Coturnix japonica: one gene and its partners. The protein of the gene in region 2 purifies or fractionates together with the protein of the main gene of each other region. This does not show direct contact. Links are inferred from orthologs where the notes say so. Each region holds a gene or a part of one and is shown on either strand. Other genes may lie near its edges.

Region 1 (7,487 bases), on a different chromosome or scaffold from region 2:
TGCTTTATCTGGAAAGAGATTAACACATGGATTTCCATTCCTTGGGTTCTGCATCTAAGCCCATTTTCAGTGCTGCTCATTCAGGGCCTGAATTATTTCACTCTTCCTTCCCCAGACCTTTTGAAGCCTCATTCAAATTTCCTGATGAGGAGGGAGAAATGTCAGCGTCTCACAGGGTCGATGGTTTGGCTTTTCTGAATGATGATGTCGTAGGTGAGTATAAACGGGGTGGCCAGATCTGTAAGAAGTCAGGTACCTCGGTGTGGAAGGATAATGCAGAGGAAGTAAATGGGGTGTAACTGCATCTACTGTAGATTCTGGAGGGCTGCACTCAATGGAGTTTCCTTCTAGACTCACTGAGCTAAAAAGATGAGATATGGAGTCATGTCTGAGCAGAGCTGGAAAAAAAAGACAGACCCAACACAGCAGACTTTGCTTAGCAGTGCTGAAATGGAAGGGAAAGAATCCTTTGCTGTTGGAGGGCTGCTAAAAGCCCTTTGCAGAGGATTGGGTCCCACAATTTGGAGGCTCTGTAAGGCCTAGAGTGGGTCTTTCTGAACAGCTCTGCTTGTTGCAGTTTTGGAACATGTGTAGGACTGGGAATCCCCCTGAAATTTCCAATTATCCTGAATTAAGGTAAAAGAAGCTGAAGTAGTTGCTGCTGCTGTCAGATCCCATGTCTTGAAAGCCACTTTCTAGATGGACTGCCTTCCCCAGCTGTTCTGAAGCACTTCTCAGCACCTTTACATCATCTTCTGTTTTCTTCCCTAGTTTCCAAGAGCTCCAAACCAGGATGCATTTACTTATGGAGCTGGAGTTGTTCTTTTGACACGAAGAGGAAAGGAAGCCAGCGAACAGTGCCTGCAGTTATTCTAGCTGAACTGGAGTGGTCCACAACAGACTTGTCTTATCTCACACTCAGCACCTGCCCAGGTAGGCAGCACCCTTCTTCAGCACTCCCAAGTAACAAGGCTGCACCAGAGGCTGCCATACTGCTCAAGGTTTACTTGTTTACAGTTGCAAATGCCTCCCACTTGCTGGAGGAGCCTGTTGTTTAAAGCAGAGGAGTGGATTTAATGCCCAGGCTAAGAGAGCACAGCTGGCCTGCCACTGTGAGCAACAGGAATCCTTAACTTGCAGCACTGCAATCCCAGCACAGTGCAGCTAATGGGCACCTGCTGCATATAAATACTTGAGGCTGTTCCTTGGCTTTTAAAGGCAGAGGTGTTTTACCTCGCTGTGATACACCTGTCACAATGCAGTGTAAGGCTAATGAGGAGTAAAGAAACCTGATCTGAGCATTGCTTTTCAAATCTATGGAGTCCGAATGGGGGTTCCAGAGCTGGGTAGTTTAGTGGGGTGGGTTTTTCTTTGGTGCCAGAAAGATAATTCTGATGGAATGTAACATCCTCCATTGAGAGGGTAAAGCGCTGCCTGGAGCTCAGCTTTATAATAGAATGGACCCTCAGCTCCACTCTAATTTCCCTGCTTCTTCTTTTAATCTTACAGCAAAACTGCATGTGTTCTGCGGTGATGAGAAGGGAAGTGTGTGGATTTACCACCTCTCCGACTACACCACAGCATGGAGCTCTGCCAAGGGAAAACACTCAGACAAGAGAATCCCGCCCACACAGGTAGGTCTCATTTACCCTCTGTGTCAGAGCTGTGCTTCCCTTCCTCCCCAGGGCAGCTCTCTTGAGTTTCACACCAGAACATGCCTCGTATCTTCTCTACCTAACATTCACAGCCAATTAAAACCAATCTCCAGAGTGTGACCAAGGTCACTTCCAATCACACACACAATTATGACAGGGATTATGAGCTGCAAAGCAAATTTGTTCACTCCTGTGTGCTGCAGCTTGTCAACTTTTCCTTGGGTAAAGGCCTCTCTGTAAAAAATATGATTGTTTGACTATATATGGCCTGGCAACACAAGCTGTTCCTGCGCTGCTGTCTGGTGTGCAGCCACTGTTTCCCTGTCTGGATGAGTGGAGGTAACAGCAGCAGCTGCTCCTTGGTAGAACTGCATGTGGGGAAGGGGAAGCTTCTGGCCTGTGTTCCTGCTTCTCTTTTGCTCATTCTTTTCCTGAGCACACTCCTGCTGTGGGTCAGTAGTGTGCCCTAACAACTACACATTCACAAAGGCTGTGAGGCACGTGTGGTCTTAGCTCTAACTGTATCTGGTAGGGATGTGACCTCTTTGGACCCCACCCAGCTCCAGTTGTCAAACCAGGCTTTGCAATAATTGATATTGCCCAAGTTTCATGGACAATGATACCATTCCTTTCCTACACAAACTCTGTTCTCCCTGTAGATTCTCAAATGGCCGGAGCTTCAAGCAAATGGGGAACACCTGAGCGAAGTCTACATAAACAACGTGATAACAGACCCTACTTTCACTTACCTTGTTGCTCTCACTAGTGTGAACATTACAGCCATTTGGAAGAAGTCATAGTTCCTTGTTATAGAAGTTCATTCCCCGTGTTTTGAAATAGTGCAGTATTAGTGACTGTTACCCATATAACCATAAAGTTTTCTAGACCAGCTGTTACGTGCAAAAGGTAAAAGAGTTCGTTAAGCACATCCAGTCATCCAGGCTTTTTTCCTGTAAGTTTACACAATTTGTGCATTTGTTTTATAGAAATGACACTTAATAAAACAAAACAACAACTCTGCTGGCAGAATCTGAACTTCTTGGAATGGGAAACCAGGGCTGTGACCCGTTATTGCCACTCAGCATCTCCTCATTGCCATAAGGGCAGTGAGACTGAGCTACAGCATAGTGCACATAGTGACAGTGAGGCTCCAGTTAGAAAAGTGAAAACCATTTTAGTGAATTAAGCCATGAAATCAAACAAGACATGTCAGATACAAACATCCCCTCCCAATACTGCTGCCAAAGTCAGTAGGACTGGAAGGAAAGTAATTGGCATTGAATGAAGGTTTAAATAAAGCATTTCACTCAGACACATCGTTCTTCATCAGCAGTGTATCACACTAAGAGCAGGCTGATTTCACTCGATTCCTTCTTGTTTGTCTTTAATGGCAACCTGTAAAGAACAGAAACAGAACCGTCAGTGGATGGTTTAAACACTGATTTCATCAATTTCACATCAAACAACAACTGCATGAGTTCAGGGGAGACCTTATTGCTCTATAACTTCCTGAAGGGAGGTTGTAGTGAGCTGGGGGTTGGCCTCTTCTCTTGTGTTATCAGTGATAGAACTAGAGGGAATGGTTTTAAGCTGCGCCAGGGGAGATTCAGGCTGAACATTAGGAAGTTTTACTTTGCGGAAAGGGTAGTCAGGCATTGGAATGCACTGCCCAGAGAGGTGGTGGAGTCACCGACCATGGGAGTGTTCAAGAAAACGTCTGGATGTTGTGTTGTTGAGTATGATCTAGCCGGGAAGTATTGGGAATGGTTGGACTAGATGATCACAGAATGACCCGGGTTGGAAGGAACCTCAAGGATCATGTAGTTTCAACCCCCCTGCCTGGCAGGGCCACCAAACATACACATTTACTAGATCAGGTTGCCCAGGAGACCCCATAGATTCCCCATAGAGACCCCATAGATCAGGTTGCCCACGGCCCCGTCCAACCTGGCCTTGAACACCTCCAAGGACGGGGCATCCACAACCTCCCTGGGCAGCCTGTTCCAGGGCCTGACCACTCTCCTAGTGAAGAACTTCCCCCTGACATCCAACCTAAATCTTCCCTCTTTTAACTTCAAACCATTTCCCCGTGTCCTGCTATTGTCAGCCCTTTCCAAGAGTTTACTCCCCTCCTGGTTATAGGTTCCCTTCAGGTTCTGAAAGGCTGCAATGAGGTCACCCCGCAACCTTCTCTTCTCCAGGCTGCACAAACCCAACTCCCTCAGCCTGTCCTCATAGGGGAGGTGCTCCAGCCCCCTGATCATCTTCGAGATGGCAGCAGCTCTGGGCTGAGCCCTTCCCTTAGGTTCAAAGGATGGGCTTCTCGCAGTGCTCAGAACTGAGCTCACCCTGAATCTCTCCTCCAGCAGGGACAGCTCGCTGATCAGGTCGGTGATGGCGTTGGTGAAGGCCTCCTGGGGGCTGTAATCCGGGGTCGTTTGGACGCGGATGATGATTTTATGTTCCAGGGGGTGCGGGACCTTGTAACCTGCAAACAGCACCTGGGGGTCCTTCAGCAGCTGCCTGGGGGAGGAGGCAAAGCAGCAGCAAACAAACATACATTAATAGATGTAAGAGCTTTATAAGAGCCCCAGCACTTGTAAGCAGCGCCCAGCTCCCTCAGCTCACGACTTGATGATGTTTCCCAGCGTGTGATCCTCCTTGTTGATGGTGAACAAACAGGCGTTGGGCACCTTGGTGTCCTTGTTGATGGTGATCCTACACAGCACAGGGGGCGGCGATTCACTGCCACAGCCCGGGCGGACATGGGGGGAACCGGGGGGGCACGGGACGGTCCGGGCAGCCCCCAACCCCCCACCGGACCCCCCCCATCCTCCATCCCGCCCCCTACTCACTTTTTCTCCCCTTCGAACAGCAGGAACGACTCAAATGCTGGCGGCGCGTTCATCCCGCCGGCTCCGCACCGCTCCCCGCAGCGCACACAGCGTCACTTCCGCCCACAGCGCCCCCTGCCGTGCGGGCGGACCGTGCGCAGTGCGCTATAAAGGCACGGACACGGAGCGGGTGGAGCTGCGCATTTATTGCCACGCTGCGACCCCCCCCCCCCCCCCCCCCCCAGCCCCATCCCGGCACATCCCGGTCCGTCCGTCACGTCTGCGGCTCCGGCAGCTCCTGCAGGGGGGGCTGGGCCGGGGGCAGCCGGCGGTGACAGCGCTCCAGGTCCTGCAGCGCATCCAGGAGCCGGCGGAGCGCGGGGGTCAGCGGTGGGGCTGGGGGGGGGGGAGAGCGGGGCGGTGAGACCCCCCGGGAATGGGAGCAGCCCCAGAGCACAGCGCCTATGGGGGGGATGGGGAGCTGGGGGTCCTTTCTCTACCTTCTCCGTTCTGAGGGTCCCCCGGCTCCATGAGCTGCCGGCACTTCTCCCTGCGGATAAAGGGGCTGTTGGCCGCGGGGCAGGGGGCGCTTTGGGGGCTGCCCCCGGTTGTGGGTCCCACCTGAGGGGCTGCTGCAGCCCGTGCAGGTGCTGGAAGAGCCGCTGCGCCTCCACGTCGGGCTGCAGCGGGTCGGTCCAGTCCTGCAGGGTGATGCTGTGCCGGGTCCGGCCGCAGCCCGGTCCTATGGGACAGAACAGGGGCTGAAAATAGCGGGGACATCACCACCCCCACCCCCCACCCAGCAGCCCGTACCCGTCCTGTCCTTCTGGTGGCAGCAGCTCCATTTATCCCCCCTGAAGACCCCGGGGTGGTAGGAGCGCAGCAGCTGCGGGTTGTTGCCGCACACCTTCCTCAGCGCAGACAGCCACTGGTTCAGCTCATTGACACACTGCGGGTTAAACAGCGAGGTCACACAGTACCCCAATGGGAAACAGCCCCGTCCCCATCCCAGCCCACCTTGCACTGCAGATACGCCGTCTCCTGCTGCCCGGCCTCATCCACATAGACCACCTGCATGACGTGGCAGCTCCCAAAGCTTTTCTCCTCCACCTTCTCGGCCGCTCGGATGTTGGCCAAAGCGATGGAGCCGCATCTCTGCCATTGGGGACACAGCGCTCGGTGCCCTCCGTGCCACCATGGGATCCCACCACCCCACGTCCCCCTACCTCTGCCCCGGGGCTCTTGCTGAAGCTGAGTGCCTCGCTGGTGAGGCAGAAGTGCAGCTTCTTGGATGCAGAAGCAAGCAGCGGCCCTTTGCCCCGTGTCTTATGGACAAACAGCAGCCCCTCCTTCACCACGTTGCTGCGGGGGGCACAGGGCTGCTCCTCTCCACCCTCCTCCTCCTCCGTGCCCACCAGGCGGGTGATGAAGGCCCTCATCTGGGAGGCTCCGTGCTGCAGGGCGGGCTGCAGCGGGGCCAGCCATTCCTCCTTGGCTCTCCCTGCCGCTGGCTCCATGTTGCCCACCATCTGCACGGCCTGCAGACCACGGCATGGTGGAGTCGTTGCCCCCAGTGCCACCCCGCTGTGCCCATGTCCCAGCTCACCTTGGCCAGCAGCAGCAGCGTGCGGCTGGTACGTGCATCAGCGTGTGTCTCCCTCAGGTGGAAGAGTTTGGGGGTCATGATGGCGGGGGAGAAGAAGCGCAGGCACAAGAAGCTGGTGACAGCCACGAACTGAGTGTGCTGCAGCCACCGGGGGCAAGAGATGTGTGAGGGTCCATCCCCATGGCACCATCCCTCATGATGCTTCAGGGTTGGATGATCCTCACAGCCCACAGAATCACAGAATGACCCAGGTTGGAAGGGACCTCAAGGATCATGTAGTTCCAACCCCCTGCCTGGCAGGGCCACCAAACATACACCTTTACTAGATCAGGTTGCCCATGGTCCTGTCCAACTTGGCCTTGAACACCTCCAAGGACGGGGCATCCACAACCTCCCTGGGCAGCCTGTTCTAGGCCCTAACCACTCTCCTAGTAAAGAACTTCCCCCTAAGCCCACCCAGTTCCAACCCCCTGCCTTGGGCTGGTTGCCCCCCCACCAACTTAAGTCACCCATCATCAAGCCATTGGCCCCATTCCTCCATCCCCACTACTGGGTTTGGAGCTGACCTGATGCTGGGGGAAGCGCTCCCCGACACGCTGGAAGAGCTGCCGGAAAGCAGCACGGATGACAGGAGGGCAGGTAGGAGCCGATTTACTGATGGCATCTAAGAGCTCCCCGAGGTAGGACTGCAGGAGCTGGCGGCCCTGCTCCATCACCTCACTCTCTGTCTGCACCCGGTGCAGCCCCGAGCACCTGCGGGTGCACAGACCCCATCAGTCCCATGGACTCTGAGTACCCCCACCCACTGCAGCCCCTGTGCCCCTTACCCAACGTCCTTGATCTCCACCTTGCTGGGGTCCAGCTCCACGTATTTCTTCTCCTCAAACACCCTGGAGATGGTGGGTCCCAGCACCGCATGCAGGTACTGCATCCCTGTCACCTGCCCAGGGGACCACAGCACCCAACCTTAGGGGGTTTTCTCCAGCTCTTGGCCCCAGAGGCAGACACAGCTCCCCATGTCCTTCCCTTAGGACAGCATGGAGCTGTGGTGAGCTGGAAGGAGCAGGGTTTGGGGTGAAGCTTCCTGCGGACAAGGGGGATTTAGGGGCAACAGCACCTTGAGGAAAGACTCCATTGACTTTGAGGCCAGGGAGTTGCTCCGGAACAAAGTGTTGGGTTCACCTGAGAAACAGGAGGAAGCCAGTGGAGCAGCCCCAGGTACCCACCAGGCATTTCTACCCTACCCTGGAGTTACAGGGATTCTCCAACCAAACACCTGCCCATTCCTCCACCAACTACAGCCAATGATGATGATGAACCCAACGTGTTCCCAACCAGAGCACACCAGAAGTTTTACAGCTCCAAATGAAGGTAAGGAAGACGCAGCCCTGC
Region 2 (5,883 bases):
TTCCTCTCTTTCTCTGCCTGTTTGCTCTTCATCAGCTCACGGATACGTTTGTGCTGGTGGTGTCGATGTTTCTGCGTCCTTTCGCTCCTATCCGCTTTCCTCTCCTCATTCTCCCTCCTGTCCAACTTAAGGGCCAAATCATCCGAGAACGTATCCGAATCCGAACTGATATCATCGTATTCCACCAACGGTTTGATCACAGCTCCCAGAGGCGCCGCCGTCTCTTGGGCGGCCAACGGTGACTCCTTGGAGTGCCGGGATTTATGCCTCTTATGCCTTGAAGCCACCCGGTGCCTCTCCTTGCTATTGGAGCTGCCCGATGAGTGCAGCGAGGTCCCCCCGCCGCCCCCATCCTTCTTCCCCCCATGTCTCTCTTGGTTTGGCATTCCTCCTCCTCCACTGTGCTGGGACAGGGGGAGGCGGGGGCGCTCCTCCAAATCCTCCTCGACTTTCCAACTCCCTCAGCCTCCCTCTATTCGAACCATTCACCGCCCCCCGGCACCTCCTGCTGCATGGGGAGCGGGACGGAGAGAGCGAGGAGGAAGGGAACAACGGGGAGAGGGAGAATGGGAAAGGAACGGAACCGGGAGCGGCGGGGAAGGACACCGGGCCTCAGCGCCTCATCCGAGGGGCCCAGGCCCGGAGGGCAGCGCCGCCGCGGGGGGAGCCCCGGGAAGGCGGGAGCTGGGCCCACGATCCCTCCCGGTCCCGTTGTGTCCGGTTCCCTCCCGCCCTGTCCCAACCCTCAGTACCGGGTTCCCACCGTGCGGCCCCGTTCGGTCCCCGCCGCCCCGGCCCGGCCCAGCGCCCCCCGCTCACTTCCCAAAGCGAAACGGCTCCTCGGCCCAAGGGGGGCACCCGCCAAGTCTCGCGAGATAACTGCTGCTTCTCGCGAGACTCGGCCTGAGCCCTCCCCCCGCGAGATTTCAAGCGCTGAGAATTGGGAAGGCGGAAGGGAGTGCGCGCGCGCGCACCGTCTTCTCGCGAGGTCTGAGAACGAACTTTACTCCGTCCCGGGGAGCGCACGAAGCCCCGCCCCTTCCGCCCGCTCAGCACCAATCAGCATCCAGGGGGCGGGGCTTGAGCGCAACGCCCCGCCCCCTAATCACTCCCCCTTCTCACCATGACTCCCTACCTCTCGCGAGACTCAGAAGTTCTCGCGAGAAGCGGGAGCCGCGGCCGGAGGGATGGCGGCGGGCGCCGCCGTGTGAGGCCGGAGCGGAGCGGCCCGGCCGCGGTTTATCCCCATCCCTTCCCGTTTATCGACGTGATACCGGCCCTGTGGCTCCGCCGCGGGCCGCCCCTCCCCTCCCTGAGGCATGAAGGCGGTGCCGGGAGGCGCTGAGGGTGAGTGCGGCCTAGCGGGGCTGCGCTGTGTGGAGGCGGAGGGAAGGCCCGGCCTCCTCGGGATGGGGGGGGTTCCACAGCTCGAGGGACGGCGGTTGGGCCTGCAGGGAACGGCGGAGCCCGGCCGTGGGGTCCCAGTGGGTCTCTATGGGGTCTCTATGGGTCCCTATGGGTCCCTATGGGTCCCTATGGGGTCTCTATGGGTCCCTATGGGTCTCTATGGGTCCCTATGGGTCTCTATGGGATCTCTATGGGTCCCTATGGGTCTCTATGGGGTCTCTATGTGTCCCTATGGGTCCATACTCACCATGTGTGGGTCGTCGGGTCCCCTCCCCACTTTGGGTCTCTATGGATCCCTATGGGTCCCAGTGGGTTTCTATGGGTCTGAATGGGCTTCAATGGGGTCCCCATGGGTCTCAATGGGTCTCAAAGCTGGGCATTAAGCAGCTCCAGAGCGGGGCTGTGGTGGATGGAAATAAAGGCTGATGGGCTCCTGTGGTAGCGAACCGTTCGGTTGTTTGTTCTGCTTTGATTTGATGGGGTTGGCATTAAGTCCATGACATCTGTGTGTATCAGTTTATAAACCCTTCTGATTCTATAGGCCTTGTAGGGTCATGTTCTATGGCAGTTATGTTGCCATAGACTTGTGTTGGAGCCAGAAATACCTGGTATCAGGGAGATGCCTTCCATAACAATGTAACTTAATAAAGTGCTACAATGAGTTTTAGAGCCCCACAATGTATAGATTGGATTCAGCACACATTTATAAAGGCTGAGTGTGTCCCGGCTTGGAAGGGCTGTGCAATCAGCTCACGTTCTCTTTTGTTTCTATGTTTTCATTCCGCTTTGTCTGACAGAGGCAGAGAAGCTGAATAAGATGAGTGCTCTCTTAGAAAGACTTCATGCAAAGTACAACCAAAACAGACCTTGGACTGAAACCATGAAGCTGGTCCGTCAAGTCATGGTGAGAAGTGCTGGGGTTTCCTTTACAGTGATGCTCAACACTCAGTGTTATCTCAGTCAGATGCAGCTTTGAAATACCTTGGTGAGGGTAGAAAGGAGTGGGAGGCAGGGAAGAGCATCATCAAAAGCTGCTGTATGTGTTGTGGTGTTAAAGTTAATCTCTCTTTGTTTCTCTTGCTCCTCTCATATAACTCGTAGCTTATGCTATTTAAGAAGTTGTTGCAGTCTGATCTTTCACAAGAGCAAGCTTAATAATCAATTCCAGACCTGCCTGTTTTACCCACTGCAAATATGGATATGATTCTGGTACAGGAATCGCAATGAGGGTGTAATTTGGGGATGAAATCCAATCTGCCTTTAATTACCTGAATAAACCTCACTCGACTGAATGAAAATTGCAGTAATTTTCCTCTCATGGAGTGAAACTTTAAAACGACTGTTTTTCTTCTTTCTGACGTAGGAAAAACGACTTGTGATGAACTCTGGGGGGCACCAACATCTGGTGAGCTGTTTGGAGACCTTGCAAAAAGCATTAAAAGGTTGGTACGTGCTGTGCCTGCACTCAGGAAATGCTTAACAGTGATATACTATGGAAATACTCTGTATTAGAGGAACCTGCGAGGTTATTGCTTGCAAAGCTCAGTGTGCTCGTGGTGCTTATAGAAGCATGCTTATTTCTTGTGAGTCATTATCAGCCAAAATTGCCTGTGTTGCTTTTATTCTTATTGCCCATACATGGATTCCACTTGTGGATGAAAATCCACACTGAGAATGTTTGTTTTTCTCTATGCAAAACGATTCTTGTTTTTTGAGTATGGAGTGGGTGTGAGTAAGTAGTTGGGATTGCTTTTAATGCTGATACATCATTACTGGAAAGATGTTCAGTCGTATCACTAAGGCTTATTTTTGCTTTCTTTGTCTAGTGTCTTCTCTGCCTGCCATGACAGATCGCCTGGAGTCCATAGCCAGACAAAATGGGTACATCTTCTCCTTTGTTTCACAGCAGTTTTGTATCTCCTACTTATCTGTATACATCATAATTTTGCTGCTGGTTTGACTGTTTCTTGTGTGTATCTCTTAGTAATTTTTGCTTTGTTTTGTATTTAAGCCTTGGATCACACCTCAGTGCAAATGGCACCGAATGTTACATCACTTCAGACATGTTCTATGTGGAAGTCCAGTTAGATCCTACAGGGCTGCTATGTGATGTCAAGGTGGCTCACCATGGAGAGAATCCTGTGGTACGTATTGCTAAGAAATACAAGAAAAATACCTTTGTTTTTGGAACTGCAGTTTTGCTTCCCTTTTTCTTGTGCAGAGAAAATGGATTGTACTGAACATTCCCCCAAACCTAATGTTATATCTGCTTGTTCTGCTGCTTCTGAAAGTTTCATTTCTGGGGGAAGAATAGGGAAATTAATCTTGTATTTGTGAGTGTTTTGTTGCTTCTCATCAAAACTGATGCTCACAGACTTCACTGTCCTGATATTTTACAGCTGCTGTGCTGCACAAAGACTTACACTGAAGCATTTGATGTTGATTTTGCTGTGTGTTCTTTCCTTTTCAGAGCTGTCCAGAATTGGTGCAACATCTGAGGTGAGCAACAAGAGCTGTTGCATCATTCTGATTTTGGTCTGATTCTGTTTTATGCTTGGAAACACAGAACGTTTCTGAACTGCTCTTTCCCCATGAAGTCTCTCCCCTTCTCCAGGAGATCTTCTGGCTTTGCTTCAGATGTTTCTCACCCTAACTGCTGTGCATGTTATCTTGGAAGGCACAGCAAAGCGTTCACCAGAATCATTAAAGCTGGATCATTTAAAGAACGCATTGTTTAGCTTTCATATAGCAAAAACCTATTCTGAAGTGATTTAGTGTTTGTATTAGTGTAACCTCTAAAAACAAAGCCTTATCTACAACAGATCTGAATACATTTCTCTCTTTTACTTTCAGAGAGAAAAATTTTGATGAGTTTTCTAAGCATCTGCGGGGGCTTGTGAACCTCTATAAGTTGCCAGGAGACAAGTAAGTCTAGAATATGCAATGTATTTACAACTGCGTGTATGAAAGCGAACAAGACTTCAAGCCTTTTAATTTTTCTTATGGTTTCTTCCTTTTTTTTCCTTATTCCCAGCAAACTCAAAACTAAAATGTACTTGGCCCTTCAGTCCTTGGAGCTGGATCTCTCAAAAATGGCAGGGATGTATTGGTAAGCACATTGTTACCATTTGCTGCTTGCTTTGTGGTGGTTGAGTTGCTGTATCACGTTGCCTGGTTGTTAATCATGCCAAGCACTGTATATCCATGAAGTATTGTACCAGTGCCTATGTATTGGCACTGTATTGTATTACACTGTTGCTAAAAAGTACAAGTCTGAAGTCTAAGAAAGGCTGTGCTAGCAGAGGAGAGCGGTAAGAGGAGATCTTCAGACTTCCATCAGCACATGAGTTGTGGCTTCAGATGTGGTTTTGGCTCATTACAAACTGGTGATGGCCTCTCTTGCAGGCAAGCCACCAATGCAAACCCACTGGACAAGATTCTTCATGGCAGTGTTGGCTATCTCACCCCCAGGAGCGGAGGTATCTTTGGTTAACACTTAAGAAAGAAAGGAAAAGATGATTTTGTCCAGGGTCCCCTTTATCGATATTAACCAATGATAATAATGAAAAATGCTAATCATAGAGGGACAGGGTGGTGGAAGATTTGTAAGTCCCACATGATCTAGAAAGCTGGTTCTCCTTTACAAAGCCATGCATAGCAATACTGTGCCAGTTGGCCATGTCCAGTCTTTGACAGCTCTTTCAAGGTGCTGTAGAAGCTCTGTGCAGAGTTACAGTGCATATGTTATGTGCTTACAGGGGTTAATAACGATTGGGTTCAATTACATCATCCAGATGCTTGTTCATAAGCCTCTCTCCTTCAGGTCTCCTTATGAATCTCAAGTATTACGTCTCTCCCTATGACTTATTTGAAGATGGCACTGGAGCCCCTGTTATTTTGCACGAGAGCAATGGTAGGTCACTTGTGAAAGCCACTGCGGACTACTCTGCTACATGGAGAAACTGATGTATTTCCACTTGGGATAATTTGTAAAGCTTTGGTTTTTATTCATCAGCTTACCTTGTTCTTTGTTTCTTGCCTTGTCTTGCAGTTCCTCGATCTTTGGGTATGAACGTGTCAGTGACAGTTGAGGGAACCATGGCGATGTACAAACTTCCCATTGCGCCGCTGATTATGGGTTCTCATCCAGTGGACAGCAAAGGGTGAGCAAAGGGCCTGTCAGCCAGGCCTGTCTTTGGTCTTATTTAGATGCAAATCCAGACTTCAGCCTGGTTTTGAAGTTAGGATGGAGAGATGACTGCATTATACTGTAATATCTTGTGAAGCTGAGAATTGTGTGTTTTGGTGTACTTTTGAGGAGTGTCTTTTACTTTTTAAGAGAGTATAACAATCTGCTTGTATTTGAGAAAAGAGTAAATTGCAAGTCTGGCAGTCATAGCAGGAGCCAGACTCATGCCCTGCATCTAATAAGACCTTGTTTTAACTCAATGTTCCAGAACTCCATCGTTCTCATCA
Region 3 (8,102 bases), on a different chromosome or scaffold from region 2:
AGACCTGCATTTAATATGTATTAATAAGAGAAAATTCTGCTGAAGCCATAAAGTGTGGGCGAGTGAGGCTGCAAACAAAACCACTTCAGTTTGGTCTGAAACTTGGAGTCGAGTTCACTTGTTGCTGTACAAAGTGCCAGGCTTCTCTTTGGAAACACTTCGCTCCTTCCAGCTCTTTGCACGGCCTGGTTTGACAGGAGCAGAAGCCAAGAGGAGAAACCTCCGTCCAGGCATGAAACACAAGAATGTACTGAGCTGGGATGGGGAATGGCTGGCAGGAAGGTAATAAAGAAGTGTACATTGTGCTTTGTTTAACTTGGTGTTCTGCTTTGCTCCCAGTTTACACATGGGCACCTTCCCAAAGAAATCACTAGCAAAGCGCTCAGTGGGGACAGGGCGATCTCTGAGTGAGCTGCAACCACCCCAGCTCCCTGCAATATTAAATACGTTAATTGTAATTACTTGCCTCTTGGCTTTGGGAAGCCAAATCCTACCCAGACAGACCCCGTTCCCATCATCTGAATGCTACCTGCTCTCAGACGCAGGCTCCCATCCGACGCTGTATTTCTCCACTCCGTTTTGCACCTCTCCCACTCCTGAGCTGCTCCACCTTTCAGCGTTAACTCAGCACGGTGAGATCCCAGGGCTTGTCACGTACCTGTTAGTGGGTGAGATGCTCACCAGGTTGTCATCCGACACCCAGCAGCTCCCAGCAGGAGGACAGAGGACAAGGAGTTCTGAGCCCCATCTGAATGCAACACAACATTCGAGAGCTTTCCATCAGCGTCTGACGAACGTTCAGTGCTGGTGTTTGTGGGAAGCCCCTGGAGCATTTCAGACACAGAACTGATCCGTCCTGCTGAGCCTGACTCGTGTCGCTTAGGGAATAACTAAAGCTGCTGTCAGTTATGCCTTTTGTTTTAATCCTACTTTTTCTGTTGTAAGAGTGGGATGCCCGGTGTGTTGCTCACCGAGTTGGTGTGGGAGCCCAACGTAACCAAAGCCCACTGAAATCCACTCCCCTGGCAGGCTCTGCTTTGCTCTCCGGTAACAAAAAGCAATGCTAAGAGAGAGGAGCAGAGCCCAGGCTGCCACATCCCAGCCCCGCTCAGCCCACGTGCACTCAGTGAATACACAAGAGGGGCAGTTTGGAGTTTCTAACCTTTACTTGACTCATCTCAAGCACAACGACCAGTTTAAAAACAGAGAGAAAAACACAAAAGCAACAGAAAGCAACCGTTCCTCTTCCAACACACTGGCTGCAAAGCACCCCAGAGACCCTTCCCAACAAACAGGCTTTCCAGGCCGAACAGCTCTGCTTCCCTTTGCTCCCTTTCAATGTTTGTCATTTCAGGATTGAGAAAGAAAAAATATAGAAAATGCCTCCTTTTTTTCCCTGTTGAACTGAACCAGCAGGCACTGCCACCTTCTCTTTTGAGAAAACCTACTGTGTTCTGCTTGCTTGAATGAAAAAAATACAGCCAACCCCAAGAGCTGCATGTATAAATGCACGCAGTCCTACAGCAGATCAAAGCAAAGGCACTGCTGTAACCATCGCATGTGAAGGACACACGAACGGTTCTGGTTCAGTGTCACATGCCTGTGACCCACACAGCCACAACGTCACAGGAACGTGACAAAAAAAAGCCCCACAAAGTAAACCTCTCCTTTCCAGCCAGGAGAAGAGGCATCCCAGCCTCAGACTGCAGAGCTGCTCCCTTCCTATTCCTTAGGGATTTCGAACATGCAGAGGCTCTTGTACTTCTGCAGCAGTTCGTTCTTGGTCCGGACCTGCTCCCGCAGGCTCTGCAGCTGCTGCTGCTGCTGCTCTGGGCTCACACCGATGCCAGGCATGGCGCTGATCAGCTTCCTCATCTCCTGGAACTTGTTCTTGAGCTCGTTCAGCACCTGGTGAACATCCTGGCTATCCTTGTCCATGCTGCAGAAGGGAGAAAACAAGAGGCATGACTCACATCTCCTGCTGGACAGACCTTCTGCCTGCTGGTGGACTGTCATTCCCAGCATGGTCAGGGCTTACGCTGGAATTCACTGGGAAACTTTTGCTCCTGGGATCTAATTCACACCTATCACAACAAAACCACCAGAGACACATACACAGATTAGGCAGCTGCTGGGACAAACTGGTTTCCTGGTCATTTTCAGCACACCATCCAGTAACCTTAATTGCAGTCCTACAGGTTAAGACCTGGTCTGCAGCTTTCAAACACTACCACAGCCTCTCACTCTGTTTCAATTCCCATATGGGGAAGGTAAGATTACACACACACAGGTTGTGTGTGGGCACCTGGGAAAAAAGACCTCAGCCCCGTCTGTGACCTGTTGTCAAAGCAATACAAGAAATCGATGCAGTCAAACAGCTTGACAGCAGAAAATAGGAATCGTTCCCCAAAGTACCAGAGTGTGTCCAATGGCAGAGAAAACGGCATTTCGGAGCTTCAGAACGACTCTCCGGGGATGTCTACCTAATAAAGAGAAGCGACAGCTTATTTTTTAAGAGCAGCACAATTGCTTCTGCAGCTCCGTGCTTCTCGAGGATCAGCGTCGTCTGAGGCAGCGTCTGCCCTCAAACCCTCATTAGTATCTGCTTCAGCTTTGTTAGCTACAGCAAGGAGTTTTACCATTCCAGGCAAAGGCGAGACTGCTTCCAAGGCAGCGCTAATAACGAGAGCAGGCTGCTAACGGCCCCTGTAAGCTGGGAGCCTGTTCAATAGCCAGGCCCAAAATAAAACTGCTTGGCATGACCAGGGCAGAGAGGTGCCTGATTAGAACTTTGGGGAATCGTGACACGACTGAGAGCAAAACTTTTAACCAGATGGTCCCGTTCATTTCAACAGCCTGTTGGAACAAAATATTCATGACTCCCTTCTAAATAAAACCGCAGCTGGTACTATAATGTACCCCCATTATGCAGGCGTTTACGGTCAAGTTGACAGTGGAAAAATACAGGCACACACACATTGCACATCTGGGAAGGATGGGTTGGCATTGCCTTTAATCCACACGAGCTGCATGCTGGATTCAAAGGGCCGACCAGGTCCTTCCACAGCTCGTTCTCTTCTCCACATCCAAAGAATGGATGGTTGCCTGGTTGGTTGGTTGGTTTGAAGGAATAACTATTTTCAGGCTTGTTGTTGTTTTGTTTCTGATGGGAGTTTTCAAGTAATTGAAGCAGCTCCTCTGCAGGCATGGAAAGGCAGGGGGGAGAGCAAGAGTGGGAAGAGGTTCAGCTACCTGCAGTTACACAGGATTAAATGCAATGTCCAGCCACAGCCTCACAGTGCTTGGGATCTCCCTTCAAGGACTGAGATCTTCAGACCCTCCCCAGCTGCCCACCAGCTCTCCTTCACTGCTGTGAACAAATCATAACTCCATCATGTCCCACCTGCAGCTCCTGGATACACCAGCACAACCCACCACGCACAGGGACCTCACAGGTAACCTCATCTGATTATACAAGGGTGAAAGTAACAGCAAGCCCTGCCTGGGAGAACTTTCTTGGGACTCAAACAACAGGAAGGAACACGTGTCCTTGAATGTAAGCAAATGTACGCGATACATCACTGCACCCCAGCACAGTCACCTTGGAGATGTGAAATGTCTTCAGGGCTGAGTCAGTGTCAGAACAGCAGGGCCGGGCTGTGAGCCTGGCGGCGGCGTTAAAGGATAATACGTTTGCCATCTGTCAGGGACATGAGGCAACTCATCCCACTGCTCGGCTCTGCCGTCTGACCCCTCTGCAGTGCTGCTCTGAGCACCTACGTCTGCTCACCCCGTGCAGGAAATGCTGTGTGCCAACCTGGGGGGGAGCGGGGCAGTGGGAGTGGGTGGCTCAGAGGGACAGGGCACAGGATATCCCAGCACTGTCATTGTGGGTCGCCACGACTTGCTTGGTGACACACAGGAGGCTGGGAGGTCTCAGCCCGTGGATCTGGCTCACTCTGGCTCTGCACACATATACAGATGGCAGCAGGTTCAGCATCACCTCTGGATGGATCAGGCAGGGTTGAGCACAGGGACAGTGGCAGCGCAGGGGGGAAATGGAGGGTGGGTTTGAGTTCTCATAGCTCTCCTGAATCTAGGAGAGCTAGATTCTAGGCTGCCGTGTCTGTGGGGTATTCGGCCTTTCCTTGCCATGCTCCTCCAGCTGCATGGTTAATAAGGGTGAACCTCTTCTGGGTACTCAGACACACAGAACCCCAGCAGGAAACAAAGCAGCCTCAGCTCCCATAGAAGCGTGCAGGGAAAGGGCAGTCAGACCCACAACAAGGAGTGGGAATTCACGCTTCCTGTGCCCTCTGCATCACTGTGCAACGTGCCCAGGTCACAGCAGGGCGATGCCCCTACCGGGAACTCAAACATTTCTGACAGGGTTACCCTGGGCCACAAACGCTGGTTGTCAGGACCCTCGTACGAACACCTTTAACCCCACAGCATTGATTTTGAACAGGAAAGAGGATGACTCAGCCTGCACAAGCCTTCCTCTTTCTCCCAACGCCCAGAAACAGACAGTGCTGCCCTGGGACTGCCCGTCCTTTACTTATCAGCCCATCAGAGCAGCAATACGGGGCAATAACAGCTCGGCACGGCTCCTGCTGCTGCACACCCGGCCCTGCCCCACCTCGGTGACCCCAACTACGGGCCCGGCTCAGAGCAGAGCAGCTGCCAACCCCCCCATAGACCCCAGCGGGGAGAGAAAGGGCAGAGGGAGCATCCCTGCGGGGTGATGCCGTGGTGAGGCCGGCCCGGCGCTGTGCGGCCGCCGTTACCATTTGATGATGTCGTGGACGAGCGGCAGGAAGGAGAACTCCTCCTGCGCTGCTGCCGGCGGGGCGGGCGGCGGTTTCTGCTCGGTGGGCGGCTCGGCCGGCGGCGGCTCCTCGGCGGCCCCTCGGCCTGCGGACACCACCGAGGCCATGGCGGCCCCCGGCGCCGAGCAGTGACGGAGCGGGGCGGAGCTCGGCCGCTCTGTACCGCCCCGGCGGCGGCCTGGGCTGAGCATCAGATGCTGCTTGTGTGTGGGGCTCAGTTTGGGCCTGGGCAGGAGGTTGGGGTGTGGGGATGCTGCGGGCCGTGGCCTGGGGCTGAGGCCTGGGCCGGAGCGGGGCTCGGAGGCCTCCCTGGGTCCTGGGCTGTGAGGGTGGGTGTGGGGGCTGAGCCCGGGGTCAAGCTTTGGGACTGGGTCTCAGATATGGGACTGCACTGCTGCTGAGGTGTTCCCCAGCTGAGCCGGGCCTGTGCTCCCAAGGCAGTGCCCTGCACACCCACACTGAGCACCCCACAGTGTGACCTACAGCATCCCTGACCTGTGTGCAGCCCAACTGTTCCTGGCTGTCCTCGTTGGAGAGGAGGGCCATGGAGATGCTGTGAGGGCTGGAGCACCTCTCCCATATAAAGGCAGGCTGAGGGAGTTCAGCCTGGAGAAGAGAAGGGCTTTCAGGGCTTGGAACTGGAGAAACCTGAAGGAATGGAGGCAAAAATCCAGCAGCAGGGCTGAGACATCCATGAAGCTGCAAGGAGGGGAGAGGTGGGGTTCTTGGGTGCCTGGGCTGTGAGTGCAAGGGGGTGATGGAGAACACGCTGCATGGAAGGTGAGGGTGAGCAGTGCTGCCCCTGTGCACCATCAGGAGTGTGCTTCAGCAAACTGCTGCTGCCGCGTTTAAACCGCTCTGTCAATACACACTATTGTAGCACTGATAACAGCAGCCACAGTCGTGAGTTATCCTTCCTGGATTGGCTTAGAGAGCACAGATAATTTTGTTTTTTATTTGAATTCAGCTCCCGGGTTCATCAGTTAGTTATAGCCCAGGGATGACGGGAAAGGTAATTTTCATTTTAAAAAACAATTTCTTTTGAAAAGCGAACTATTTATGTATCAAATGAGAACGCTGGTAACCGTTTGTGCGTATGTATTATTGACTGCTCGCTCTAAATATAGCAGATGCAATTGTTCACATTGTTCTACTGTCAAGAATAGATCCCGGCTTGGTCACCAGTTCTGGAATGTGCAGGAGAGCCCAGGGGTGCCCAGGACCTGCTGAGCAGATCCCTGCGGGAAGGCTGGTGGGATTCATGGCCCTTGACTGAACCAAGCAGGAGGTACAGGATGCTAATGCCTTTGTGTGGGGCTGAGCAGAGAGGTTCATTTCTGCACGTCGTTTTATGGGCTGTTTCTAAAGCAAGACTTGATTCAGGCTCCTCAGGGGTCATTTTATTCTGTGCTGTGCTGGTTTTAACTCTCCCCTAGACTTTATCAAGGAGTGTGGCTAATTGCTAGGCTGCTGGATGCCTGCCTCTCATGGGTGAGTCAGGCAGTCATTAGAGTAGGTGACAACATGCAGATACCATTCAGGCAGAACTACAGCACTGTCAATCAGAATTTCTTTGTACCATTCCGTTCCCATTTTGGTTCACGTGTTCCCACAGCAATTGGAATCTACAGCTTTGTCTCAGTGGTGTTCAGCCCTGTCTGCCTCACACCTTCCCTTCCTCATGAGAACAGCTCCTTCAGGTGACCCATCTCCATCCTTCAGGGCTGGTTAGGCATGTTCATGTTTTGCAGTGAGGAAATGGTGCCACTGGCTCCTCCATCACTGAAGACACCAGTGAATTGATGGGACCAGAGTGCACAGTTACTGTTTGAATGTCTGCCTGTTGTCTGTACCATGACTGGTGTGTCCATAGCCTCGGTGAAGACTTCAGGGAGGGTAAAGACCCAGCTGACAGGCCTGGGAAGGAAGAAGAGGTTTTTTGGGCCAAGGAGCACTGCCCTAATCTTCAGCTGCCCTTACAGTGCTCCAAGCTGTGAGGCCTTTATCCCTGTGAGATGGTGACCTGGCTTACATCTTGTGATGAAGTTCCTAATGGGAAGACAACATACTCAATATGATCTCTGCACTCTGCAGGTCTCCATCTCAGATGGGAGGGCTGTGTCTGGCTCTCTTGCTGCTCTCTCGTGGAGGTCTCCAGACCTTCCATGTCTTAAAGCCATCCCATACACTTTATTGCTTGCCCTACCATTTGGTTAATCCGTTATCCTAAAAAACGACTGATCAAATAAAGTGTATCCAATACCCCTTATTGCCTGTTTCCTTACAGTACCAGTCATCACCTCCTTTTTCCCCCTGTCTTTCTATACAAATTACTTCTCACGTCTGCTTCCAAAGATAATTTCAGGAGGGGGGCTACCAGCAGTTATCTAATTGAGCACCACACAGCTCTGCATCTCACCAATGTTCCCTTACAATGACCTGACATTTCTGTATGGATGATCTGGCATGTCACCAGGCTCTGCTTCTCTCTGCCAGGCTATCTGGAGCTGCCTGTGCCATTGCCACCAGCTCTGTTATCATTTTTTATTGTGTGGCTATCATCAGGTTGAACTTTATCTCTTTGTCCTGCCCCGATAGCTCATTGTCAGCTTGAATTTTCTATCTTAGGCTTGCTGAGCTGCTGCAGTGGGATAAGTCTGTACTGCTGAATGAGAGAGATGGTGTTGGGGTTGTGGCCACCTGGCATGGGGCGATAGGAACAAGAAGTAACAGCTCCTCTGGGCAACCAGCCTGGGGCTGTGGTCAGCAGCACAGGGACTCTGTCCTTTTGTCCTCAGAGGTGAGCCTGCAACTGCTGAGATTCCTAACCAGCATCCCCCTATATGTGACCAGATGGAAGTTTGGCCTTCGGATCTGACCTGTCTTGAATTCTGGTGTCATTGAGGATCTGTTTCAGGGCTCTGGTGTCCCCAGTTCTCTGTGGTGTGTGGATAGAAATGGGAGGATCCATAAGCTGAGCATCACCCAGACACATCCAAAGAACTCTGGTGCTTCCCAGAGCTCACCTCACTTTATCAGGGTGACCAGCTGCAGGGGAACCCGTGTGCCCCATCACAGGGTATAGAGCCATCGGGTGACACATCAGAGTTGCTGTCCTTGAGGAGAGTGGCCACCTCTCCCAGGGAGCCCAGCCTGCAGGGACGAGAGGTGGCACAGAAGTGTGGGCTGAGCTCACAGTGGCTCTGGGCTGGATGTCAAAGCTGTAGGGCATTGGCCTGGCCATGAAGGCCAATGCTTCATTACAGTGAGCCT

Evidence for each region. Proteins that work in one complex are often made in the same cells at the same time.
Region 1: the proteins of MED1 (region 2) and DNA-directed RNA polymerase II subunit RPB11-a purify together in Homo sapiens (affinity purification with mass spectrometry; 3 studies listed by BioGRID and IntAct, with this or other methods). This does not show direct contact. The link is inferred for Coturnix japonica from reciprocal best matches to the Homo sapiens genes MED1 and POLR2J.
Region 3: the proteins of MED1 (region 2) and MED9 purify together in Homo sapiens (affinity purification with mass spectrometry; 8 studies listed by BioGRID and IntAct, counting the BioPlex papers as one, with this or other methods). This does not show direct contact. The link is inferred for Coturnix japonica from reciprocal best matches to the Homo sapiens genes MED1 and MED9.

Annotation. Positions count from the first base shown.
Region 1 is NC_029534.1:3,077,671-3,085,157, forward strand, and holds DNA-directed RNA polymerase II subunit RPB11-a, read right to left. Parts: upstream 4,643-7,487; 5' UTR 4,564-4,642; coding exon 4,511-4,563; intron 4,374-4,510; coding exon 4,284-4,373; intron 4,179-4,283; coding exon 4,004-4,178; intron 3,051-4,003; coding exon 3,015-3,050; 3' UTR 2,672-3,014; downstream 1-2,671. Other genes in the region: LRWD1 (leucine-rich repeat and WD repeat-containing protein 1), read left to right, coding at 116-213, 772-933, 1,510-1,634, 2,315-2,455; ras GTPase-activating protein 4-like, read right to left, coding at 4,764-4,885, 4,990-5,039, 5,111-5,231, 5,303-5,438, 5,507-5,644, 5,716-6,027, 6,096-6,233, 6,662-6,848 and 2 more. UniProt on the Homo sapiens protein: Core component of RNA polymerase II (Pol II), a DNA-dependent RNA polymerase which synthesizes mRNA precursors and many functional non-coding RNAs using the four ribonucleoside triphosphates as substrates.
Region 2 is NC_029542.1:3,840,977-3,846,859, reverse strand, and holds the start of MED1 (mediator of RNA polymerase II transcription subunit 1), read left to right. Parts: upstream 1-1,142; 5' UTR 1,143-1,319; coding exon 1,320-1,347; intron 1,348-2,204; coding exon 2,205-2,311; intron 2,312-2,770; coding exon 2,771-2,849; intron 2,850-3,233; coding exon 3,234-3,288; intron 3,289-3,418; coding exon 3,419-3,551; intron 3,552-3,877; coding exon 3,878-3,906; intron 3,907-4,260; coding exon 4,261-4,332; intron 4,333-4,441; coding exon 4,442-4,516; intron 4,517-4,812; coding exon 4,813-4,886; intron 4,887-5,230; coding exon 5,231-5,320; intron 5,321-5,458; coding exon 5,459-5,570; intron 5,571-5,864; coding exon 5,865-5,883. Other genes in the region: CDK12 (cyclin-dependent kinase 12), read right to left, coding at 1-386. UniProt on the Homo sapiens protein: Component of the Mediator complex, a coactivator involved in the regulated transcription of nearly all RNA polymerase II-dependent genes.
Region 3 is NC_029529.1:4,802,220-4,810,321, reverse strand, and holds MED9 (mediator of RNA polymerase II transcription subunit 9), read right to left. Parts: upstream 4,972-8,102; 5' UTR 4,937-4,971; coding exon 4,788-4,936; intron 1,940-4,787; coding exon 1,723-1,939; 3' UTR 1,144-1,722; downstream 1-1,143.